4 separate regions of the Mus musculus genome follow, and all the other regions are reported to be linked to region 4. The links are microRNA targets in miRTarBase. Many come from high-throughput screens and were not tested one by one. Region 4 holds a microRNA gene; each other region holds the end of a gene's coding sequence.

Region 1 (4,142 bases), not on the chromosome of region 4:
TAACTCAAATGTTCAACAATCTGGCCCTTTGTAAACAGTCTTGTTATCCCATAATAAATGATTAGAGTGAAATTAGGTCAGTATCCATGTGGGGGAGTAAGGATAATCAGTTTATTCATATTCTGATCAGCCCACTCAACTATTTTCTCAAAATCTGATTAGCTAGGAAAGGAAAGCATAAGGAATGTGAAGGAACCCACCAATGACTGGAGACAGGATTTTCTTTACATTGTCTAATAGACTCGTTTATTATTTTAAGCTGGTAAAAAGAGACTTATGATTCGTGTTGAAGAAAGAGTTATTTGTGCTTGATACATTGAAGACACTGTTCAAAAGCATTTTTTTTTTTGTCCTTATAAAAGGATGACCCCTGTAGTATTTCTTAGGCAAGGAGGGACAAAATTCAACCAACAAAAAGCATATTTCGCCCCAAGTTCCCCATGATTTCTCCACATATAGCAAAAAAATACACATCAGTTATTCGTTGGAACATGCACATTGGAGAGCAGTACAGTTCTGGGCTGCTCAGGAAACAAAAGGGAAGGGATCAGCATTACCTAAATAAAAGAGAGGTGACTTACACCCTTTCCATTGTCTTAAAAACACCAAGAAGAGGAGCAATTAAAATAGAGTCCTAAAGAGTGCTAGCTAATGTAGATTACATAAGTATACAATATGATTCTACTAACAGTGCTCTGAGAAGCATGAGCCAGCCACCAGTCTAGTAAACAGGGCCCTGATCCACTGCTGAGAAAATATTAGCTCCCAATGTAAGAAGTTACTTGAATGTATCTCAGTACTGAACGCAAACCAGGTGGTTTGGGTGGGCGGTGTTCTATAAAAGGCGGCTGTATTAAAGCAAGGAGGCCATTTCCTGTTGCGTGTTCTATACTTTTGGAATTCTCTGTTGGGCGTTTGCTTTCTCTACTTCCCCCCCCCTCCCCTGAGCACTAATTATCAAAAAAGATTTCAAGGTGCAAGTTGTACATTCTCATCGCAATAGCATCTCATCTCTTTCCGGAAGAGAGGATTACAGTCAGGTTCACAATGCTAATTCCTTATCTCTTCCCGTTTGCTTCGTGTACGCGTACTTCAAAATCATAGTGTTGATTAGGAAAAGAGACCTACAAACGAGAGCACGATGCAATCATCCACTTCTTATTGTGCTGTGTCTTTTCCATCCCGTCTCCCCTTTCCCTGTAAAGAGCTGTAAAAAATTTAAGGCAGATGAGGTATATTGCTGAAGGAAAAAGTTATTTCTTGAAAAGAAAACCCAAAAAAACCACTTTTATTCTGCCCTTCTACTCAAGAAAGACTACTCAACTATAAATCTATTACTAGAAAAAGCAGGAAAGACTCTGTCTGCATGTACCATACTGCGTCTTCTATTTCTAGAATGGCTTTTTTGTTAATTTAATTTTTAATAGAAAAAATAAGCACCTTAAGCTATGAACAAGAAAAGAACTTCATTATTAGTGAGTCCGGAATCCAAACGGAATTAGAGAACACTCGCTCAAGCTCGCACTCATTCGCACAAAGGCCAACGCTACTGATTAGAATTGTAAAGTGCTATACTGAGGTTAAACACTTTTGTATACACTGCAGACACTGAAAAATAACCCTCAAGCACATTGTGTTATAGTTCCAAAAATATATTTACAGTCTATTACAAAGATTACAAATGGAAGTGTCTAGGGTGACTGGATTATGCTAATTAAAACTATTTTTACAGATTATTTTTTTTCCTAAGGGACAAAAAACATTTTAGAGAAATTAAAATGAGTTTTCTACTCAATCAAAAAATAAATTAAAATATCAAATAACACTGTACAGTGATAAAAAGGAAAAAGAAGGATAGGGCGGGGCTTGGGACGCAATCCATTTGAGTTTTCTATAGCCATCTTTGGTCCTAAATGTGGGAAAACACAATAAGTAGCACTGAAAATACCTGTTTCTTTGTGAAGCTCTGCAAGTAAAATAGAAAAATATAGAGCATTTTCATGTCCTCGGAGCCACGACTGAGAAATGTGTATACAAAACAAGACGGTATAAATAAAATTTACAAGTTTTACAAAGGAACATTTACAGATTTTGCTTGTTACCTGTTCTTGTTTGTTTGTTTGTTTGTTTGATTGTTTGTGGATGTCCACATGACCAAACAACACCAATTAGGACCGATCCCTGGGATCTTTCTCTAGTAAAATCATTATAAACAGCCCAATTTTCTTTGGAAGTACAACAGTTCAGTTTTGGGGTAGTTCATGATTTTTGTAACTTTTGAAAACATTACTCAAATATGTATACATTCCTGAAATAGCTATAAAGACACATTTAATTATTGCTTATGAAATTCAAACACAGTAACCAAATAATATGGTCTGATAAATAAAGTGGAAACAGAAAAGCCAGACCCTTTACTTCTTCCTTCTGGGGTAAAAGAGTTTTGACCTAAAAGGGTTTGTGTGTGTGTGTGTGTGTGTGTGTGTGTGTGTGTGTGTGTCACTGTTCATAGATAAAATACCTCTGTGTTGCTTTCTTCTCACTGCATTGGTGGAAATATTTGCGGCTAGTTTGTCTGTGAGTGGTGAGAAGAGAATGGCCCCTGTGATCTTGCTTCAGAGTAACAATAGAAAACTGAATTCCTTACTTTTGTATTTGGACTGCATTCAACAAGAAAGAATACAAAATATAGGTCAACTATGTTCCTAAATTTCTTACTGTCACAAGACTGAAGCTCTTGATGTGCTCGGATTGGGTTAGCCAAAGCTGGAGAGCTTCGCTTCCAGTCTTGCTTTCACCAGCATCTTCAGACGAAGCTCAGCCTTTTATCATATACACATAAACCTAAAATTTGACATCTCTCTTTTTTTTTTATTAAATTCTGCCTAGTAAATCACTCTATAAACAATCTGTTAAAAGTGCCTTATAGTATTTATGGATCATTATTGCTTTCTTTTTTTTTTTTTTTTTCATTGAAAAGTTAGTATGTTGTCTGATTTTTACAAAGAAAAAAAAATCCTGTTAAAAAATATCAGAGCTCTTGGCAACTTGCAATTTTGAACTACCTGCCAATCAGCAAACAATATGAAAACATCACTGGTTTAACAAAATGACACAGCCAGGATACCAAAGCCATGAAGGACAAAGTCCCATCCTCGACTATGTGCGTAGTTTTGCTTTCCTTTAAGTTTGAGAGTCTTCAAAGGTACCCAGTGTAGTAACGTGTCATAAATTTAACACTAAAAAGGTCCAAAGCTACAAATAACTTTCTAAAACAAAGTCCTTAAGCAGAATAAACACAGATGGTTCTGGAAAAGAATAGTCTGAAATCACATATTTTAAGGAAAATATTTCATTGATTTTAACAATAAGATCATGATTTTTATTTGACAAATATATTCTTTCTTAAATTCTTTATGTACATTTTTAAAAAGTCTATAAGATAAAAAGGAGGTTCGAGAGCTCAAGGTGTTGGGATGTTTTTCAGGTAGTACTTTGTTTATTGTCTCTGCTGTGTTCCTGGCCACCAGTGGTGGATCCTAAATTCCCTTTTTGTATATTCTGGTGGCACTTAGGAGTTCAAGTCTGGAGGTGCTTCTAAAATCTTCTCTTTCTTGTAGGAAGGACCCAGTATATCAACTGTCTTCTAGCAGCATTCTATGCGTATACTGAAGGCCAGAACTGTTCTCCTGCAGTCTTAAGCCTCATCTGAGGGAGGCCGATGTGTCACACTTGGATGCCTGTTCCGTGTAAATGCAACATTTGTGCCCGCATAGTCTGGATGCTGCTCATGATCTTCTTTTGATGGCCAACCAGTGTGATCCCTAAACTCATCACATCACTGAAAAAGACAAGGGCACGCTTATCAGATCCATGACAAAGAACAGAACGTGCTCTGCGTGCTTCTTCACAGTCACTCACGCTTTCTACTACCTGTTGGCTGACGCACACTAACAGTACTCTTGGGTGCTATACAGTCTTACTCTAAAGAAGATGCTGACGTATTTGGACAGTCTCATTTGAAAATACTGGATGAACAAGTCTGTCTCGTAGTTTACCATACTGTTGCTTTTTAACTCATCCTAAGATTTTATTTTAAAAGGCAATGGAATGTTACCTGAAACACTGGGCATTGTAAATTA
Region 2 (4,166 bases), not on the chromosome of region 4:
CATCCCCTTCAGCGGACCTGTACTCCGAGGAGCCTGGGGAGGAGGAACCTGCCTGGGTGCAGACAGAGCGGCAGCAGTTCCGAGAGTTCCGGGATCTGAACAAGGACGGGCGACTGGATGGCAGTGAAGTCGGTTACTGGGTGCTGCCTCCATCCCAGGACCAGCCCCTGGTGGAGGCCAACCACCTGCTGCATGAGAGCGACACGGACAAGGTGAGCCTGGGCTACTACTGCCTGCACGCAGGTGGGTCCGGAAACAGAGAGAGAAACGGAAAGAGACCTAGAGACAGATCCGGAGAAACAGATGGGGGCCGAGGCCTAGAGGAGAGAAGCCAGGCAGAGGAGGGGCCCTAGGGACAGCCTGGTGGGGATGTCCCCCGTGGGCCCTGCCTCCTGCTGACCACTCTGCCCACAGGATGGCCGGCTGAGCAAAGCTGAGATCTTGAGCAACTGGAACATGTTTGTGGGCAGCCAGGCCACCAACTACGGTGAGGACCTGACAAGGCACCATGATGAGCTCTGATCCCCATGTCTCTCAGACTTCCGACCACATGACCACATGGGGGACAACCGCGGGGCCACTGCAGCCAGCCCCGCCCCCAGGACACAGACTCAGCTCTGGTGTTCCTGGTTCTTGGGCCCTCAGTCACCTTCTCTCCCTGAGACCCCTGTCACCAACCCTGGGACCCCCCAACCTGCCCAGGATACTCAGGCACTCAAAGATAAGTGACACCCACTGATAGCATCCCAGCACTGACGCGGGGCCACATCCTGACCTAACCGCAATTTGAACTCTGAATGTCAACAGCACAAGCTAACCTGTCCTGCCTAGGAGCAATAAAAGCTGTTGCTGGGGTCCCCTGCTCTGTCTGTCTGTCTGTCTGTCTATCTGTGGGTGGGGGGAAGGATACTGTGAGGAGATGGAGGAGCATGCTGGCGCTGAGTGCGGAGGGCCTCAAGAGGGCGTAGTCCAGCGGTGATGTCCCCTCCACAGGGTCACATACATTACGATTCATAACAGCAAAATCACCGTTAGGCAATAGCAACAAAAATGATTTTATGGTTGGTGGAGATCCGTCAAAACAAGAGGAACTGTGTTAAAGGTTGAGGAGCACTGCTCTCGGGCATCTGGGCATGCGAGATGGGTGTTAGTGGACGTTTGAGGGCGTTCCCAGAGGCCGAGAATAAAGCCAGCAGCCTGGGGGCCGCAGGAAAGCCAGGCAGGAAATGCAGCCCGCCCCTAAGTGCTCCAGGGTGGGGAAGCACAAAACCACAGCTGGAGAAACAACCACAGCTCTCAGTGAAACACCCCGCGGTGAGGGTTCTGAAAATGGAATAGCCAGGAATGAGGAGGGAAAGCGCCTCTGTGTCAGCTGCATTGAGCCACACGGAGAGTGATATACACCCGTAATACAGCAACGCGAGGGCAGAGTCTAGCGCAGGAGGACGTCCGGGTGTTCATGTCTGGCCTGTTTGGTTTTGTTTGTTTGTTTAAAAAAAAAGGTTGGAGGGAAAAGGGGGGAAATAAAATGTAATTATATTTTAATTTAAAAGCGGAAGGGGTGCAAAAAAATAAAAAAGCCAGGCGATGGCACACACTTTTAGTCCTAACATTTGGGAGACAGAGACAGACAGATCTCTGAATTTGAGGCCAGCCTAGTCTACAAAGCCAGTTCTAGGATAGCCAGGACTGTCACACAGAGAAACTGTGTCATGAAAAACAATCAACCGGGCAGCGGTTGTGCACGCCTTTAATCCCAGCATTTAGGAGGCAGAGGCAGGCAGATTTCTGAGTTCAAGGCCAGCCTGGTCTACAGAGTGAGTTCCAGGACAGCCAGGACTGCACAGAGAAAACCCTGTCTCGGGAAAAAAAATAAAAGAAAAAAAGAAAGGAATTGGAAGGGAGAGAGAGAGAGAGAGAGCAAGCTTAGCGGTTAAGAGCACTGACTGCTCTTCCAAAGGTCCTGAGTTCAAACCCCAGCAACCACATGGTGGCTCACAACCATCCTAACAAGACCTGACGCCCTCTTCTGGTGTGTCTGAAGACAGCTACAGTGTACTTACATATAATAAATAAATCTAAAAAAAAAAAAGAAAAAGAAAAAGTCATAAAAAAAGAGAGAAAGAAAGAAAAGTGTATGTGCATGTGTGTGCATGCATGTGTATGCATGTGCATGCGTGTGTATGTGTGTGTGTGTCCTGCAGATGGATCCTAGTGTTGGGACCCCAGCACCCATGCCAGGCAGTTCACGTGTGCCTGGGACTCCATCCCAGAGCAATCTCATGAATTTTCTGGCCTCTCAGGGCACTCGTTTACACACTCACACAAATAAAATAAGCAGTGGGGTGTGGGTGCTGGCTGCATAGCTCAGCAAGTGTCCTGGGGATTAAACACTGTGAGAAAAAGGAACCTGAGGAAAAAAAGGCTTATTTCAGACCACTGCTCATCATTCCGGGAAGTTGGGGCGGGAGCTGATGCAGAAGCCTTGGAGGATACTGGCTGACTGGCTTGTGCCCCAGGCCTTGCTCAGCCTGCTTTCTTACAGCACCCAGAAGAACCTGGTCAGGGTGGCCCCGCCCATAATGGGCTGACCCTTCCTACACCAATCATCATTCAGGAAAAACTCCACAGACTTGTCTACATGCCAACGTTATGGAGGCCTTTTCTCAACTAAAATCTTTCTGCCTGGGGCTGGAGAGATGGCTCAGCAGTTAAAAGCACCGACTGCTCTTCTAGAGGTCCTGAGTTCCCAGCAACACATGGTGGCTCACAACCATCTGTAATGGGATCTGATGCCCTCTTCTGGGATGCAGGCATGCATGCAGGCAGAACATTGTATACGTGATAAACAAATCTAAAAAAAGGATTCTTCCTTCCTGGGGCTGGAGAGATGGCTCAGGGGTTAAGGGCATTAGCTGTTCTTCCAAAGGCTCTGCACCCAGACAGCAGCTCATAACGGTCTATGCAACTTTATTTCCAGGGGATCACACAGACACACACACACACACACACTCAGACAACACAACCAATGTATATAATAAACGAACAAGCAAATAAAAGACTCTTCCTAAATAAACAAATAATAAAAGGTTCTTTCTTCCCAGACGACCCAGCACATGGGTAAAGGTGTTTACTAGTAAGCCTGATTGCCTGGAAGATTGGACACAGAACTTTTTTTTTTGTTGTTTTTTTTTTTTTTTTGAGACCGGTCTGTGCAGCCTTGGCTAACGTGGAAGTCATTTTGTACATCAGGCTGGCCTCGAACTCAGACATCAATCTTCTCCTGACTCTTGAGTGCTGAGATTAAAGGTGTGCACCACCATGCCCAGTTGGAACCCCAGAATTTTTTTGTTTTGTTTTGTTTTTTCTAGACAGGGTTTCTCTGTGTAGCCCTGGCTGTCCTGGAACTCACTCTGAAGACCAGGCTGGCCTCGAACTCAGAAATCCCCTGCCTCTGTCTCCCAAGTGCTGGGATTAAAGGCGTAACCAACCACGCCCGGCTACCCCAGAATTTTTTAATGAGGTCCATGCCAGGCCAGTGCCTTCCTAAACATTCCAGACTGCATAACATCTACAGTGCTCATCTTCAGAAAAAGTGGTGACATCGCAAGGGCTTTGACATACAGCTCAGAAGAAGAGACTTCAAAGTCCCCAAGTGCCGGTGGAAATGTCATCCAATTTAGCCCAGTCTGTGTATTCCGGAGCAGACACAATTACTTACCAAGGCATGGAATGGCGCGCGTGCCCTCTGCTGGCGAGTTCTGGGACTACCGGCTGGGAAATCACTGGCTCTTACAGGGGCTTGCGTGATGCTTCCCTGGGGGGTTCAGTATCTCAAGGCAGTTTATCTTGTTTGTTTGTTTGGGGTTTTTTTTGAGACAGGGTTTCTCTGTATATTCCTGTAGACCAGGCTGGCCTCGAACTCAGAAATCCATCTGCCTCTGCCTCGTGAGTGCTGGGATTAAAGGCGTGCACCACCACACCCCGCATCTTGTTTATTTTTATTGAATTTTTTTTGTGTGTGTGCGGGTCAGACGATGTGTTGTGATGGTGTTTTCTTCCCACCATGTGGATTTTAAGGATTTAGGAGTTTTATTCTTGTCAACTTTAAAAGTTAGCAAACCAAGTAATGGGTCTTAAAGCATTGGGTCAGGGTTACCAGAGTT
Region 3 (4,166 bases), not on the chromosome of region 4:
CGTATGTGCCTTACATGCTGACCCTGCAGAACCACACCTTCACAGAGAACATCAAACCTTTTACCACCTACCTGGTGTGGGTCCGCTGTATATTTAACAGGAGCCTCCTGGGACCTTTTGCAGATGTGCTGGTGTGCAGCACGTAGCCAGCAGACCATGGCCAGGCCTCTGGAGGGCACCTCTCGCAGCTCAGCTTTCCCAGGTCCACAGTTCTGCTAGCAGCTGTGGTGATAAATTATCTATTTATTGAGTAGGCTTGCACTAAGCCTGCTTCCCGAGTGTGCTTTTTGCAGATTTCTCTAGCTCTGAAGAGGTGGTGCCTGCCAGGGCCCGGGGATCTGCTCTTGCTAATAACCATGCTGTTTCCTGCTTTGGCCTTGGTGTAGGTCCTGGCCTCGAGAAACAGTGGTCACGTGGTTGGTGGGCTAGGCAGATAATCTTTGAATTTCATCTGTAGCTGAGTGACAGGTGTGTTTGGAGCAGTCATTAAATGATTATGAACATCTTGCCCAAGTCTTTTTCTGATGCCTTGTTAGCATGCACGAATTATACCTCGTAATAGGTTTTATGCAATGTTTTAGGGCATGTTTATAATGCACTTCAATACTGTTCACCTCATTAGCCTTTCCTGCCCCCTCCCACCGAGCTTTTCCTCTTTCCAACCCACCCCTCTTATTTTCAAGTCCCTTCGTGTCTTTATTTATGAGTCAACAAGTTTCTTAGGGTCGCTGACAAGCACATGGGTGAGGTTTTGTCTGCAAGGGCAACACCGTTGACTACACAACTAAAAAAAATGTCTCCTTTCAGACACTGACCTATAAATCCTCAGGGAGCCGTGCGGCCCTATTAGCTCCTCCCATTTCCATGACGAGGTAGAGATAGGCCAGATCATGGTTGGTCATCACAGCTGCTGTGAGTTCAAGAGTGCAGCAGCCTAGTCAGACCCAGAAGTCTGTGTTCCACTCCCCAGCCACCCATTCTTCTTGCCCCTTCCAGATATTCCTCGAGCCTGGGCGAGGCTGACATAGCTGCCCATGGATGAACACTTGGTAGTTACTCTCAGCACCGTAACCAGTTATGAGTCTCCAGGGACTGCTGGCACGGCAAACTTGACAGAGCGGGCGGCAGCACTGGTCTGTAGGCATGAAATTTTTTAGAAGATAATTTTGTAGGTGTGTCCTATCCATGAAGCACAGTGGCAGTAGCTTCCCTGTGAGAGAGAGCCCATGCCCTCCCCACCCACAGGCTTTTAACAGGTTCCAGCGTCAAACCTGAATTCCCTCCCGTGGAATGGTTCTCAAATCCAACCAGGAGGCAGTTGGTTTCCCCATAACAGACCTGTCCCTGTAGCATCAGTGGGCCCATCTTGCCTAGCTGTTGGCTACTATCTGCAGCCACAAAAGGTGGCTGATATGCCCCCGGCCAGCAGCCCGCACAACACTTTATACTGTGAGGGCTGGCGAGCAGGGGGGAAGTTCCGTTTCCATCTCGATTTCTCTGTGTCCTGCGACAGGTGTTTGGTGTTTTCAGCAGAAGGGTTTCATCATCATATTCTGGTGGGCAACAGGTGATTGCCTGTATTTGGGAGTGGTCTAAGGAGCCAACTTAAGCTACAGCTCAGAGAGTGTCGTTGGGCACATCTTATTGGATAGCAAGAAGCAGAGTTGACAGTCAGTACTTTTAATTTTGGTTGTCAAGGAGATGACATGGTAGGCTAGTGTCAGGACCGTGAAGGGAGAATGCTGGGTAGAGCTCCTTTGATGTGCCAGGTACATCACGCAGGCGGTGAAGAGGAGAGCGTCCTTTGGGGATATCCATAATACCCATGTTTGTCCTGGGTAGTGCCTGGCGGAGTGTTCTCCCTGATCATAGTGAAACCATAGATGCGCTCTCATTAAAGTCAGGAGTGAGATGTGGCTGAGCCTTTTTTAATCTCAAACAACAAAACAAGACCCAACCAAAGCCCTAAAACAGTATATATAAGGAGAAATTAAAACATAAAACTGAAAATTTGGTTTTCTACTGAAAGACTAGTAAGAGGCATATAAATATTTATCTAGAGGGCTTAAAGAGAGAACTCAGCAGCGATGCGGAGAAGCAAACTTCAGTTGCTGGCACTCATGAGGCAGCTCACGACCATTGTAACTCCAGTTCCAGAGGCCTCGGTTACCTCTGCTGTCTTCTGTGGGCACTGTGCGTGTACAGTGCACAAATGTGCATGCAGACAAAACACTCGTATACAAAAAAGAGATGTTTAAGTGGATCCTTACACCACCGAGCAGAATACAGTAACTTGGATTAGAACAGTGCCCAGTTTTGAAGCAGGCTCTTAAGAAACCCTGTGAGTGCAGCCCAGCACAGCTCACAAAAGGGCCTGTGTGTGCTTGGTTTTTATCTGATAAAAGTATACTTTCAGATGGGAACAGAATAGACTCTTGAATGGAATCTGGGGCAGTGAAACCAAAGTGATCTCTCAGATGGGGTTCATACAAATGAGCAGTCATGTAAAAGAGGTAAATAAATGACATTTCAATGACCGGAGGAGCAGAGCCGTTCTGAGAGGCTCGCAGGCTAACATGAACAAACTGGGCTGCACAGAATTACGGCTTCCTATTTCACAAAAGACAAACAGGTCAAGTCCCAAGTGGGAGACTGAGGGGAACCATGGGCAAGTCTAACAGCCAGGGCTGAGTGCAGCTCAGATTCAAAGCTCTCTTGTGCACAAACAGAACAGTCAGCCTAAAACACACAATGGCTAGCATGAAAGTGAAGATAACATCTATGTAATGAAGGGGACTTGGGTTTTATAATAGTCTTCTCCCTGCTGGAGGGATGGCTCAATGGTTTAGGGCATCTGTTGCTCTCAGAAGGGTCTACAAAGAGTTCATCTCAGCATCTGTACGCGGTGGCACACAACCACTCCAGTAACTCCAGTTCCAATGAATCTGCTGTCCTCTTCTGGCTTCCATAGTCACCTTCACACACGTGGTATATACTCACAGACATAAACATAAATAAAAATAAAATTAGTGCCTGGAGAAATGGCTCAGTGGTTAAGAGCACTGCCTGCTCTTCCAGAGGATCCAGGTTCAATTCTTAGAACCCACATGGTAGCTCACAATTATCTGTAACTCAAGTCCCTGAGGTTTGACACCCTCCTCTGGCTTCTGCAGACACTAGGTACACACATGGTACAAAATGTGTGTGTGTGTGTGTGTGTGTGTGTGTGTGTGTCAGAGAAAACACCCATGCACATAAATATAAATTTTGAAATTAAAATAATGAATCTTAAAAACTAGACTTCTCTGGTATGTAGTTCAGCTGGTAGAGTGCTTGCCTAGGATGCATGATGTTGTTCAGGCACATACCTACATATCTCTGCACACATGCACACAGCACTGCATGCGCATGTGCAGGGAACAGTTCATGAACATTCTTGAACATATTTATTGGTGCGTGAGAGTAAACTGCCAGAGCATGGAGACGGCAGGCCCTCCATCATCTTCAGCAGGTGACCTGTCCCACGGTGAGGTAGGATCCTCCAGCCTTGGCTCTCCCCATTTGTCATCAGGATGACCAACTACTGTCACAGAAATGCTGTCATTGAGAGGGACGCGCACCAGCTGAGGTTTACATTGTGTGAAGTTCTCCAGCAAGGTGTGCTCGGCCCAGGCAGCCTTGGGCTCACGGGTCCTTGTCCCTGAACAGTGTGAGGTTGTGCTTCTTAATGTGTCTCAGCAGGATCTGTCCCCGACTCTCCAGAGTCTCAAGGACATGCTTCAGACCTGCAGCTCCACCTTGGCTCTCCCAGAACACCTGGTCCATCTGCAGCGACTTGAACAGCAGGTTCTGTAGACACCCTGATGCAAGAACCTTCACAGCGGACTCTGGAAACCTGGATCCAGAGCCCCAGAGCCCCAGAGCCCCAGAGGGAAAGGCATTAAGTCAGCTCAGAGTCCCCACAAAGTGTGAATCCAGAACTTGCCCAGCTGGGGAATGCAGCACAGTCAGTCAGGGCAGGACAGGCCTGTGCCTACTAGCTCCTTATCAGGTAGTTCTCTCAGATGGGTCCCATCCTACAGAGAAGCCTGGAGAGCCAACTCAACCACTCTGGGCTCAGCCAGGCACACTTGGGGCCTCCAAGGGGCCTGAGAGGGCTGAGCTGC
Region 4 (4,166 bases):
GGGAAATGTTGTGGGATGTTTGGTTTCATTTAATTGAGGCTGGCTTATGGTTTCCGAGGTTCAGTCCAGTATCATCATAGCTGGAAGTATGGTAGCATGCAGGTACACATGGTGCTGAAAAAGGGAGCTGAGTTCTACATGCAGATCAGCAGGGAGCAGAAAGCGCGTGACACACCGGGTGTGACTTGAGCATCAGAGACCTCAAAGCAGGCTAATAGTCACTGGGAGCCTAATAATTCCACTCCCTCTGGGCCGATGGGGGTCAAACTCATTCAAACTACCACAAGTTTTTCTCAAATAGTAGCAAGGATCATCCTTGAAAAAAAAGTCATGTCACATTACAACGATCCATTTGTCAAAACCTAATGGTTTGCGACAAGACTTTAAAAAGTACAAACTCCTTTTCACAGTGGATCTCTATCTCACATGGTTTGGCTCTTCTTTCACAGGCTACAACCAGCTCTGTTAACCGTTCCTTTGCCTCTTTCTTCTTCTTCTTCTTTTTTTTATAGTACTGGGGACTTTTCTACGTGCTAAGCAATCAGTTCTACCATTCGCTAGTCACTGATGTCTCATTTTTGCCACACCAGTTATGACACTGTTTTTAAAAATAACCCAAGAAGTTCATTTGTTCTTTCTCAGGGAGAGACTACTCTCTGCAGCATGCCTTACCTCTTCATTTCATTTCATTTCATTTTTTACTTTCTTAAAGAGAACTTCCCTGACTATCCCACCAAAAATATTATTCCTACGTTCTAACACCCACTATCCTTATATGCTATAACATTTTTCTCTGTATCAGTTATCACCATTCAATATTATATATTTATAATTCTGTTGTTTCCTCCACCCCTAAAAGTTCTATGAAGAGGGTATTTTGTTTTACTTCTATAATAGATTTCTAGGAAATAGGAACAAGGTCTGATACATAATATACTCAATTTATTGACTACTCAAAGCTTCTGACATCCTGGGTTATTTTTTGTTGTTTATGTAAATCATATTACTTTTACCATAGCGTAAAGTTTGAAAAGAGATGTTAACCTTTTAAGTTTCTTTTAAGTTTCAGAGTAAGAAACACCCTTTAAATGTTTTCAGCAAAATCATTTTGTTGGACACATTTGGAGATAGTAATAGGATCATATAGGTTGGTTTTCATAAACTATTATGTGGTGGTCTGAATAGGAATGGCCTCCATAGGCTCAGCAATTTGAAGGTGTAGTCATTAGGACGGGGAATAAGAGGTGTGGCCTTAGTTGGAGGAAATGTGGCCTTGTTGGAGGAAGTGGGCTACTGGGTGTGAGCTTTGAGGTTTTAGAAGCCCAAACCAGGCCCAATGGTACTCACTCTTCCTGCTGCCGGCAAATCTGCATATAGGACTCAGAGCTTCTTCTCCAGTACCATGTCTGCCTGCATGCTGTCATGATCCCTGCCATGACAATACTTGACTAAACCTCTGGAGCTGTAAGCAAGCCCTGAATAAATGCTTTCTTTATGAGTTGCCACGATCATGCTGTCTTGCTGTCTCTTCACAACAATCAAGCATTGAATTGACTAAGACAGGAGTTGATACCAGGGACTTGGGTACTGCTGTGACAGGCCTGGCCATGCTGCTTGTTGGTGGAATATGGACTTTGCACTAGAAAAGCAACTGAACACTTTAAGTGGGGCTTTAATGGGCCATTGTCGCAGAAGCATGGAGCACAGTGGTAGTGAGGATGATATGGAAATGTGGGGGCCTGGCTCAAGAGGTCTCAGAGGAAAAGAATAGTAGTAAGAGGACTAAAGAACATTCTTGTAATATTTTGGCAAAGAATATGGCTGCTTTCTTCCCCTGTCTGAAAAATATGCCTGAGGCTAAATTGAAGAGTTTTGAATTAATGACATTGGCAGAAGAGATTATGCAGATGAATAATGAAAACAAGCAAGGCAAAATACTAAAAAGTACAATTTGAGGAGAAGGGAGCACCGGTGCTCAAGGAAATAAAATAGTTTAAAGAAAAGCCTGGTGTTAAATGGATTTAAGTGAGTGGTGACCTCAGGATAAGGTCCCACTCTGCTGAGCTCCGACTTGGGAAAAGGTGTTAAAGAAAAACTTAAGCAGTAAAGGAAACCATCAATAATAGAAATCTGATGTAGATGTAATTGAATGAGGGGGCCAAGTTCCAGCCCCAGCAAACAGCAGAATGTGGCAGCCACAGCCATGTAGTTCTGGCTTTGGAGGTAAGGGGTTATGGAACCTCCCTCCATAGCTAGCAAAAGCTGTTGAGTTCAGGCATATGTCAGGGGTGTCCCTGCATGGAGGCCCAGAAAGGCCACTGAGTGAAGCTGTGAAAGTGAAGTCTGGATTGTGTTGGAGACCCCAAGATGTTGGAGCTGAGATGCCAGTGTCATGGGATACCTGCCAAGGAGAGCTTCTATCAGAGTGTCGACCAGTCCAAGAGGAAGAAGTGCATTCAACAAAGCAGAAAGGACTTGGAGACCTGAAGAGCGCTTTGACATTAGACATGGAGGTGCAAGCAAGCTTTCAGTCTTGCTTTGGTCCAGTATTTCCTCACTATGTTCCCTTGCCTTCCTTTTGGAATGGTAATATCTATATCCTGTGCTATTATATGTTGGAAGTATGTGATCTGCTTTTTGATTTTGATTTTATGGGGGGGGGGGTTACAGTTAAGAGATGCTATGAAGTTTTAGAAGTGACTTTGAATTTTGGACTTTTAAACAGTTTTGAGACTGTTTTAAGTTATGGGGACTTTTGAAGTTGGACCGAACGTATATTTGCATTATGATATGGCTTCAAGCATATGAGGGCCAGGGAGTGTAATGTGGTGGTTTGAATAGGAATAGCTCCCATAGGCTTATACATTTGAATGCTTGGCCATTAGGGAGTGATACTACTTGAGAAAGATTAGGAGGTATAGCCTTATTGGAGTGGATGTGCATTGTTGGAGGAAATGTGTCACTGGGGATAGGCTTTGAGGTTTCAGAAGCTCAGTCAGGCCTAGTGGCACTCACTCTTCCTGTTGCCTGCAGATCCTTCTGCATATGTGCCTGCATGTTGCCATGCTCCCTGCTAAGATGAAAATGAACTAAGCCTCTGAAAATGTAAGCAAGCCCTAATTAAATATTTCCTTTCATAAGAGTTTCCGTGGACATGCTGTCTCTTCACAGCAATGAACACTGACTGGGACATACTAGGTACTTGTTAGAGTAAATGATCATTGGAATAGCGAATAGCATTTTTCCTCATGTCAGAATCCAGAAGCAATATCCCTTTCTCAAATGATCATTTAGAGTTATTCTCCTTCATCTTCCATACATAGAAATAGCTTTTTTAAAAAACAAAACAAAACAATGAGTAGCTGTCTAGAGAAGGCATAAGATACAGTCATAAACATTATGTGAGCCACAGTTAAGGCACCTTGACAATATCAATACCTGTGAAAAAAGATGCTGGTTTTAGAAGTAAAAATATTATGAGTTACAAAACACCATTCATGTTATTCTAAAACCCAAATGAGGGAAAGCCTTATTGTCACTCTGTTATATGACAAGTAACTAAACCTTTCCATTAGGGATCATGAATCCAAGTTGTACATCACAGGACTAAAGCTCAGCTTAACTGAGCTAATAACTGCAGTAAAAAAAAATACCAAACTGCTTTAGCATAGCAATACTTTAGTAGTATCAATCCTACTTTGGAGGCATCATCAAAACAGATAGTAATTAAATTATGAACTGGCCTAGACTGGTACTTCATACTACCAAGAATCTCTAGCATCTTAGAAAAGCTGTGAATTGTGCTCCTTGCTATTCCTTAAAGGAAACTAGATAGGCATGATGACATGTATCCCCCCAGCCCCCCTTCTTGTTCTAATAGCAAGTAACACAGTAGTTGATCAGGGCATTTAAATAAAAAGAAAACCAAAGCAGACCTTTAGCAAAACACACTAGACAGATGGATATTTTAAAAAATGACACAATAAATGTAAATCATAAACCAAATACACTCAGGAAAGTATACCTATTTTATGTTACATAAAAGAAAAACTACAGATGGCATGCTTACCATAACATTTCATCTGGGCAAGTTATTGAGTGGGTTTTCTTGCAAATATGCATTGCCATGATGAAAACAATTATGTGCAAACTGCAAGGTCTCTAAA

What was found. The annotated mature microRNA mmu-miR-1970 reads UGUGUCACUGGGGAUAGGCUUUG and lies in region 4 at 2,956-2,978, shown strand. An mRNA with a match to its seed (bases 2 to 7 or 8) in the 3' UTR can be bound and repressed. Matches are read on the target gene's strand: a 7mer-m8 pairs with bases 2 to 8, a 7mer-A1 pairs with bases 2 to 7 and ends in A, and an 8mer does both.
Region 1: miRTarBase lists Epha7 as a target of mmu-miR-1970. Seed matches in the 3' UTR shown: 8mer at 2,496-2,503.
Region 2: the mRNA of Rcn3 is a reported target of mmu-miR-1970. Seed matches in the 3' UTR shown: 7mer-m8 at 726-732.
Region 3: miRTarBase lists Gask1a as a target of mmu-miR-1970. Seed matches in the 3' UTR shown: 7mer-A1 at 3,230-3,236.

The regions. Positions count from the first base shown.
Region 1 is chr4:28,963,588-28,967,729 of GRCm38, reverse strand. Epha7 (Eph receptor A7) reads right to left here. Exons shown (of 17, transcript NM_010141.4): 17 at 227-3,841. The coding sequence ends at 3,727. Among named protein-coding and RNA genes, the nearest start is that of Gm11917, 100 kb to the left of the region's middle.
Region 2 is chr7:45,079,612-45,083,777 of GRCm38, reverse strand. It overlaps Rcn3 (reticulocalbin 3, EF-hand calcium binding domain), which reads left to right. Exons shown (of 7, transcript NM_026555.2): 6 at 13-212; 7 at 415-864. The coding sequence ends at 522. Among named protein-coding and RNA genes, the nearest start is that of Rcn3, 11 kb to the left of the region's middle.
Region 3 is chr9:121,977,951-121,982,116 of GRCm38, reverse strand. Gask1a (golgi associated kinase 1A) reads right to left here. Exons shown (of 5, transcript NM_177743.5): 5 at 1,909-3,895. The coding sequence ends at 3,685. Pomgnt2 (protein O-linked mannose beta 1,4-N-acetylglucosaminyltransferase 2) reads left to right here. Exons shown (of 2, transcript NM_153540.4): 2 at 1-511. The coding sequence ends at 146. Among named protein-coding and RNA genes, the nearest start is that of Gm39463, 16 kb to the left of the region's middle.
Region 4 is chrX:135,784,986-135,789,151 of GRCm38, reverse strand. Mir1970 (microRNA 1970) reads left to right here and starts at 2,935; the gene lies at 2,935-3,038. All of the region lies in intron 4 of Gprasp1 (G protein-coupled receptor associated sorting protein 1), which reads right to left.